2 linked regions of the Nothobranchius furzeri genome follow. The protein of the gene in region 2 interacts with the protein of the main gene of each other region in a biochemical or structural test. Links are inferred from orthologs where the notes say so. Each region holds a gene or a part of one and is shown on either strand. Other genes may lie near its edges. The genes, in order: mutyh and apex1.

The links.
Region 1: the proteins of apex1 (region 2) and mutyh form a complex in vitro, tested with the Homo sapiens proteins (3 studies listed by BioGRID and IntAct, with this or other methods). The link is inferred for Nothobranchius furzeri from reciprocal best matches to the Homo sapiens genes APEX1 and MUTYH.

Annotation. Positions count from the first base shown.
Region 1 is NC_091748.1:53,458,600-53,463,171, reverse strand, and holds the start of mutyh (adenine DNA glycosylase), read right to left. Parts: upstream 2,902-4,572; 5' UTR 2,745-2,901; coding exon 2,612-2,744; intron 2,242-2,611; coding exon 2,111-2,241; intron 492-2,110; coding exon 452-491; intron 359-451; coding exon 285-358; intron 1-284. UniProt on the Homo sapiens protein: Involved in oxidative DNA damage repair. Initiates repair of A*oxoG to C*G by removing the inappropriately paired adenine base from the DNA backbone. Possesses both adenine and 2-OH-A DNA glycosylase activities.
Region 2 is NC_091741.1:57,621,595-57,626,041, forward strand, and holds the start of apex1 (DNA repair nuclease APEX1), read right to left. Parts: upstream 2,852-4,447; 5' UTR 2,759-2,851; intron 1,370-2,758; 5' UTR 1,299-1,369; coding exon 1,238-1,298; intron 1,139-1,237; coding exon 975-1,138; intron 902-974; coding exon 709-901; intron 1-708.

The sequences.
Region 1 (4,572 bases), on a different chromosome or scaffold from region 2:
AGTTGCTCCAAGCTGCAAACACGACTTTTGTGCACATAGAGGGGTTTGTGCAGCAGGGGGAGGGACTGTGAAAGGACAGTTTGATGGACAGATCATGATCCAGTCATTAGTAATGGGACGTGCACAACAATTGTATGAGGTTCCTTTTGTTGACAAAACATTGAATTTATCAGTTAGCACCAGTATGTGAAGAGTATTTCAAGCAATGTGGCAAAAACTTACTCCAGAAAACATCTCATAACCCACCACATAGATCAAGTACTGAAAACATGGCAAATATTTACCTTCAGCCATCTTTTGTAGTACTCTTTTACTGTGGCAACTTGAGTCTGTTGCAGCATTATTTCTGAAACCCAAACTAAAACAAACATAAAAATTTCACTGTGTGAAGAATTAGGGAAACGTAGAGCATTTCAGGCATTCATTTCTTTTTTGTAGACTGTGTTTTTACCTGCATATGTTCTGATGTTTATGTCCGACTCTGCCAAAGCCTGCCAAAAACAGAGGCTGGGTTTTACTTTCAGATGAAACTATACTGTACAGTCACTTCTATAAATAACCAGGAGATGGTCTAATATGCAAAAGGAACACTGTAAGCTTATTTTGAATACTGGATGATGCAGATGGATTTGATTATAATCCTATAGATGCTCTAAAGTAAGTGTCTATAACAGGATGAATATTTTGACTAGCGAGCAGCTTTTACTGTGACTTCGTGTTGAAATGTTGCTGTGAAACAAGAACCCTGAAATGAATCCATCTCTTTAAAACTCACTTAAAGCTGTTATTGCGAATCTACATAACAAGTAGAGGTGCTGAAAAAAATCCATTCGAGTCTGAATCGGGATTCTTATTTATAAAGATTCAGAATCGATTCACAAAGGTTCAGAATCGATTCCAAGAACTGAAATATTTGGCATGTTACAGGTTTGAGATGCACTTTTTTATCTTTGTTAGGGGAGTCAGTACTCCGTTTACTTTTGGGCTCCCATAAATTGAGATGATTTATGTTTGAATCTGCTGATAAGAGGGCACTTGAATGTTATTTTTTCCATACTCAGAAATTTGAGATATTCTCATATTTATTTTCTAAGTTGATAGATGAGTACTCAGGATTACTCATGTAACTTGTTTCTATACATACTTGAAAAGTATTTGACTGTATTACTTTCAATGCTACTGTTAGGTAACTACAGATTAGTTATATTTTACAAGGTAAGCAAAAATAAATGTTGCCTTTTGGTCAAAAGATCGCTTCTGTTTACAATTTTAGAATCACTTTATTTTACATTGTAAATTAGCATTTTTGGAGCATGACCAGTTTAAAGTCAAATAAAAACGTCCTATAGCTTTAACTAACTTGTACAACAAAGTAGTTAGTCCTGGAGCTGACACTCGTTAATACTGATTGTGAATCGATTTAAATAGAGAATTGAGAATCGAGAATCGATTCTGAATCGAATCGGCACCCCAAAAATCCGAATCGAATCAAATCGTGAGATTCACATCCCTAATAACAACGCAAACACAGTCACGGAACATTCACCACTCCCCTCGGGTATCTCCCTGAGATGTGTCGCCAGAGGAAACGAGATAGCGCTAAACACCAGTCGCTGTTTTCTAGGCCCAAACGTCTTTTATTGTCCGTGACTTTAAATGGTGTTTTTCTTTTTGGGACTCTGGTAGTTTGTCCTAAAGTTGAACTGGTAGAGCCAGCTGTTTATCCTTCTCTGGTGTTATTGAGCGGAGAACTTCTCACACCAGTAACGGATTGAGGACGCAGGGAAGTGCAGCGGTTCAGCAAGACCGACAATCGGATGGTCAAATAATTTGTTTCGGTCCAAAACGTGTTATTGGCAGACAAATGGGAGAGAACCACTTTCTTTATTATTATTATTATTATTATTATTTTATTCTCCACAATATATTACTAGCTATACTATTTTAGAATGTTGTCAAGAGGCATGAAAAAATATTTTAAGATAATGTGTTTTTCAAATTTGCCTTTACAGCTTTAGTATAACATTTACCATATCCTGAAATGGCAAGAAAATGTCTATTCTCTCTAATAAACAAATGCGTATTAAAAATCAAGATTTCCTGGATGTACCAGAGTCCTCCACGGCAGCTCTCTCTTCTCTTTGTCATACCAGCTCAAGAGCTGGGAGCGCAGCTGCACAACATCAGCAGGATCAGAGAAGGTGTGGAAGGAAGACTGTGGCACTGGGGGCGTGGTGTCCTCTGGAAGAAACGCATTTTAAATTCAAAACACATTTACCAATTCTAAAAAGTGTTTTCGAATCGTGTCGCTGAAACTTCTGGGTCAGATGTAACCCATGGGTCAAGCTGAACTTATTACATAAGTCAAATCTCTAGAGGTTTCTCTGCCTCAACACAGCTGAGTGGATGGAGCTTATGACTGAGCCTTTATGTGAATGTTTGTGTAGCACACTAGAGGTTTCTCTGCCTCAACACTCCTGATTTCACACAGCAGATGATCAGACGTGTACAACAGAACACGACATTCACTCCTCAATTCAGGTGTGTTAGAGCACGGATCCCACTAAAACACGCTGGATAGTGGCCTACCAGGATGGAAATTAGAACGTACCTTCTTTAACTGCTTGTTTGGACCTCTTTCGAGTAGAGGCTGATGTTTCTACCGTCCCCATCCGGCCTCTCTTGCCCTTGGATACCGCTGAACGTAACCCATTCATTATCAATCTCCCCTCAGTAATGGCCATCGCTGTTACTCTTCAAAACCAGAGCGGAGTTTTGGCTCCCGGCCTCCCGCCACTACGTTAAGGAAAAAAGCAGCGTTTAGCCAATCAGCTGTAAGTAAACACGGAAGTGTGTGACGCCATAACCGGTCGGCAGGTCTACGCACGCACATGTATATATACATATCTTTATATATTTATATATATACATATCTATGAACGCACGGACGTAGACGCGCTGTGGGCGTCATTTGGAATCGTAGATGTCCAAGGATGATCCCGCCTTTCTCGCCTCTGATTGGTTAGAAGGGATCTAAATCGGTTTATTGAAATCAACAAAACATGGCACATTACAATATTCCATTCTTAACTGGAAATACAAGCAGACGAGAGAAATAAATTGAGTAAAAAGAAAATAAATAATAAACAAACATGATATAAATAAAATGCAAATTAAGTGAAATAGTCTAAATGAAAGTAAAACAACTAATAAAGTGCAAAACATCATTCAATAAATTTGCTAGGGGTTAGCATTTAGTTTGTATTTCTTCATAGCGTAGGCTTTGGAGCCTTTCATGAATTCCAAAGAAGAGAAGTAATATACTAATTATTTATGAAATCCAATGAAATTAAGGCAAGTTTTTGCATAACGGATTTGCGTATGTAAAATTTTCCATGGATAATTATAACATTTAAAGCAATATAAATATTGTCCTTGGCAGTAAAACAACCGATTAACACGTTTTCTTTAGAAAGTCTTGGTGGATTACATAGCCTCTAAGCCAACCAATTCTCTAATTCACTCCAAAAAGTCTTCACAAATTCACAGTCAAAAAACAGATGCTCAGTGGTTTCTATGTCTGCATTACAAAATGAGCAGCCATTATGTTCCAAGTTAAATCGGTGTCTCAAAAGCTCTCCAGATGGATAAACGCAATTCATAATTTTAAACTGCATTTCTTTCATCTTTGGAGCAACTGGAAGCTTGAAAAAAAACCTACTTGCTTTTTTTTTTTCAATTTCACAAGATTGTAGATGAGAAGCTAATGATCTGTTGGCTAAGAATGGATGCAGCTCTTGAATAAATAACTGTCTTAATACAATATTGGGTAACTTTTTTTCAGTAATAGAACATTCATTAAGCATAAATTCAGGAAGCTTTGGACTAATGTTATTGTGATGTAAATTAGAGGAGATTGACAAGACAAGACTTGGAATTGCTTTTATAACCTTCTGATATTGTTCCTTGACAGTCAACTTGAATTTGGAGCTAAATAGTTCATGAGACAACAGATTTCCAGAGTTATCAAACAAGTGTAAAACAGACCAGATATCCTTTTCCAATCAGTTTGGATAAAATATTGAGTTATTTATTGAGGTGATGCATCTACAATTCTAGAGAGGAGTATCATGCAGACTGAAATTATATTTGCAAATCATCTTCCAGTACATAAGTACCTGTTGATGAAATAAAGACAGCTTGATGGGGAGCTTCTTCAGATCATAATCACACCTTAAAAGAAATTTAATACCACTGAGTTTGTTAAAGATTTGGTTTGGTATGTGAAACCAGAAATTGTTGTTTTAAACAAAAATGTTTTAGCCAGTTATTTTTTATTGTACCATTAACACACTCGAAATATAAAGCTTTAATCCCACCTTCCTCATCTTTAACCAAATTAGCCTTTTTAATATAGTGTGCCTTGTTTTTCCAGATAAAATTAAAATTAACTTGGTTGATAGCTTTAATTGCCTTTTTAGGGATGGAGATTGAGTAAGCTGGATAGATAAACCTAGAGATTGATTCCATTTTCGTGAGAAAGGATCTTCTAATAATTGAGATGTCCCTTTG
Region 2 (4,447 bases):
TGTGTGTTCATCTTTTTAAAACCTTAAGCTAACTGAAATGTCTCCTCTGCCTTCATTAGTTTCTTCAGGAGCTGTTCATCACTATATGTAACAAATCAGCTGTGTTCACCATCTAAAACATGCAGGAAACGTGCTGGAAGCAGACTGCAGAGGCAGGTATGTCCGCTCAATTGTTTTTAAGTTTTAAGCTGCCTGCCCCACTGAAGTTGCAAGTGCAGTATTCTGGTCACGGGGGGCAGTGGGGTCTGAGTGATATTTCATTAACCCTGTAAAGCAAGGATATTCAAGCTCATTTTAGTTTTAACTTTATTTCAACACACCTGATTTCAATCAGCAGGTGATTCAACCACTGAATTGAATGTGTTGGAGCAGAGAAACCACCAAAACATGCTGGATACCATCCCTCCAGGCCTAGAATTGAATAGCCCTGCTGTAAAGGGTCAATTTAGCACATACTGGCTCAAGAATGATTTTAAAATATGAAATATTTGCATAGTATCCCTTTAAAAATAGAATCTTTCCAGCTCTCTCAAAAGATAAATTTGTATTTATCACTTCTTATTTTTCCAAAGCCCAAATGTCAGAAATGACACAACATACAACCTGTTTGTTTACCTTTTCCCAGAAACGTGACTTTTTTCCTAAAATCACACAAGAGATATGTTACCAAACCAACACGTCCTCATCCAGAGAAAACATTTCACTCACCAATTCCATATGTTACTTTGACAGGTTCAGTCTTGCATAGCATGGCTACACCACTGTATCCCTCCTTATCATCTGACACAGCCCAGTACTTGTAGGGGTACTCTGGCATTGAGGTGATCTCAGAGGGAAGAGCTTTCTCTGAGCACTTGGTCTCCTGGAGGCACAGAACATCTGGAGCCTCCTCACGCACCCACTGGGAAAATGAAAGTCAACCTTCAGATTGTTTATGATGAGCCTCATGCAGCAAAACTTTTTCTCTAACTCACATCAAGCCCCTTCTTTTTCACCCATGCCCTCAGCCCATCCACATTCCAGGAGGTGATCTTCATGTTGGCACTGCGGCCATCTTTACTGGTCATTTTGTCAGGAGGATCATCGTACAACACCGGTGCCTCTGGTTCTTTAGCCTTCTTTGCTTTCTTTGTAGAAGCTGACACAAAGAAACGAGAAAAAAAAAAAATCACGAGCGTTGAAGATCTTTATTTTCTTCAAAGGGAACAGCAGATTTGTAGGTGTAGCGTTGTTGTACCAGAGTCGGCATCATTCTCGCCCTCTGCAGCTGCCTCTTCTGTCTTCTTGCCTCTCTTCATACTGGAACTTGTTCTAACGGCAAACACACCTTGCAGACACACAGCACGCACACGCAGCAGCACACACGCCGCTGCAAACACAGAATTAGGGTGCAAAACTCTAGAATGCAGCAATCAAGTGCAACACGGAGTGGTTTTCACTTTAAGATGGTTTTGAACTTAAAAAATAACGACCATATGTTTTTGGTTATTACACAAATCTAAAGACAAAGTTTGTTACCCTAAAGCGGGGCCACTGCCTTGCATGTTTTAGCTGTTGCCTTCTTTACAGCATGTTAAGTTCTTCAGAAGCCTGTTGATCACCCTATGATTCAAACCAGGTGTGTTGGTGCAGTAAAACATAGAAAACATGCACGCTGGGGCCCTCAGGGACCAGGATGGCATGGCCCTGCCCCAAAGCATGGGTCTGCAACCTGTGGCTTTGGAGCCACACTCCGACCTTTAGCTCTTTTGAACCGGCTCCTTGTAACTTGGCCATAAACGACATGAACCTGAGTAATGTTTGCATTTAAGATGACATCAAAGATAGATATAGCTCTTAATCAATTTCCTGCAATAAGTACAGTTTCCACAGCTGAATGACACAAAAATGATGAATAAGTAGTTTTTTCCCCATCATTTCCTACAAAGTTGACCTCATAATAAAGTTTGCTTTTCAATACAAAAGAAATCAACATCAGTTATTTGTGAAGGCGAGAAATAACCAACTGCGCTTCTGAACCTATTTTATTATCATTATTTATTTAACCTGTAAACATTATTTTAGGGATCAGACTGTGTGGCGTATTTAATATGAGGTCAAAGTGGTTCTACCATATAGGTTGCAGACCTCAGAACCCTGTCGCACAATTTGTTACACATATAGTTACTGTACGTCACTTTTATTTATTTCATATTAACTCTATATACAAACTGTAGCCATTGGCAGCGAGCCACTTTCCCATTACAACCAGAAGACTTCCTGGTTTTGTGGAGTTAACCAACTTCAACATAAAGCTGAAACCTAAAGGTTGTTTCAAAACCTGCTTGCAGCAGCTTTAAACTCCGCGGGTGCGTTTTAGCAGGACCCTTTAAAATATGCGTAAAGGGGAAATGAGGTTTTGAAGTTTTAAATGTACTTAATGGTTAAAAATATGGGGGACAATGCTGATTTAAGTGTGTTTATGGTAAATAAAAATATTCATATATTTGACAATACAGTTGTAAAATATATAGGGTAAAACATATTGGGAAACGCGTCTGTGCAACACAAGTGTAGCTGAAAACACGCTGTGCTAAGGCTAGCGTGTCTCCATAACAAAGGGCAGCAGGCGGCCTGCACCATGAATGAATGACAGATTAATCGAATCGCAAATTAGGCTTCAAATGAACTTCAACGACTTGCCAACAAATGCAAATGTGCTTAAATTAAAGTCTCATTTTCACAGCATTTCCGGAAAAGAAGATGCAAATAACCTTACTTGTAACAACAGGATGCAAAACCCTAGTAGCAAACGCCGCTCCAGTCACTCCCCCACACACAACAACGATTTTCTTCAGGGCACGTGCTGGTTGGACTTGGTAGCTGCCCTTAAATATGCCTGAAAAATTACCAATAGGTTTCACCCCAAACTTAGGAGAAATAAATACAGCATTTTGTTCAATATTTTTTTCCACTCAGCTGAAAAATTTGTATTTTTTTATTACGATGTGTGGACAAATATTTTCGAAAGATCTTTATTATAAGGCGAATTTAACAGCGCAATATTTGGGTCATCGGAGCTGCAGAAGCTAACCGAGCTGAAATGTTCAACTGGAACGAAAAGTAAAGGAGAAGCAGACCGTTTAAAGTTTATTTGTTTTACTTTATTAACGAGGTAAATATTCTCTGGAATATACACCGCTCGCGTGACAGTTAACGTAGGCGTTTGCCACACAGCTTTGTTTTAACTTTTCTGATCAATTCTGTTCAGAATGATCCTCTAAACAGGTTCTTAGAATGGGTTAATAATATGTAAATGGTTATTTATTTAATTACGTAACTTGTGGGCTGAGTGTGCAGCTGTAGCTAATGGTTTTAGGAATTACACAATTATAGCTTTCATTATGTTAGCTGCTTCTGGGTTGTTGGATCCTTTTGCCAGATGTTTCTTTGCTTTTGAGCAAAAAAGCAGTTTTTGTTCTGGAACTCAAACTAAACTTTGCACATATTTAGTACCTAATGCAAGACTGATTAATGTACTATGCTGGAACCAGTGTGATCTGTTTTTCGGTTGCTAAACTAGGGGACAAAGTCCCTATTATGATTTTTTTTACAGAATGATTAAACCTGTTAAACATCATATGAAATATGGAGTTTTTGACAAGTAAATTTATTTAAAAAAACACGTATAGAGACAAAGGTTGGTTTTACCTCAATGAGAAAAAAATCTTACATTGTTAAAATTCTGATTTGATTTTCGTCTTGAGGGATTGCCGTGTGTGTGTGTGTGTGTGTTTTATCTTGAAAGGCATTATACGAAATTAAAAAAAAGTATTTTTATGAATCTTTTCTTCTCACTTGGCTGAATGAATTAGCATCTTTACATTTCAGATACTGTACCTGGTTACTGTTGAGGTCTGTAGAAAGCTCCTTTCATGTCAGGATCCTCTCCAGCTATTGATCCTGGTTTCTTACTTCCAGGAGAGGAAGACCGGTAACAGTCTTCCTGGTACATTCCCAAAAATGACCATTATGCAGTAGGTTGGTTTTACATTGGCTTTTATAGAAAATAAAACATAGAAAGTAGTACAAACAAGACAATGTGACCCCCTGAGCCCCCCACCTCCATGATCATCAGTCAAAAGGGCCACAAATCTCCTCATGCATCCTTAGCGTAGCCCTCCCCATTTCGTGGCATGGTACATTTCTATTGGATCAGTAAATGGAAATGTGTAGAGATCTGTGTGCATCACAAATCTCATCTTAAATGAACAAGATATGAAAAGCATTGGTGTTGCTGCATCTAGTCTGATTGTGTAAAAAGAAAAACACTCCTGCGTACTTTTGTACTGGATAGATAAACAACAAAGACATGACCTAACTAAGCCATGCCTCCGATCAAAATAATTATCTAACACTTGCAAAAGGAACTGTCTTGCATCTCATGCAGAGTATTTTGTGCTTTTTC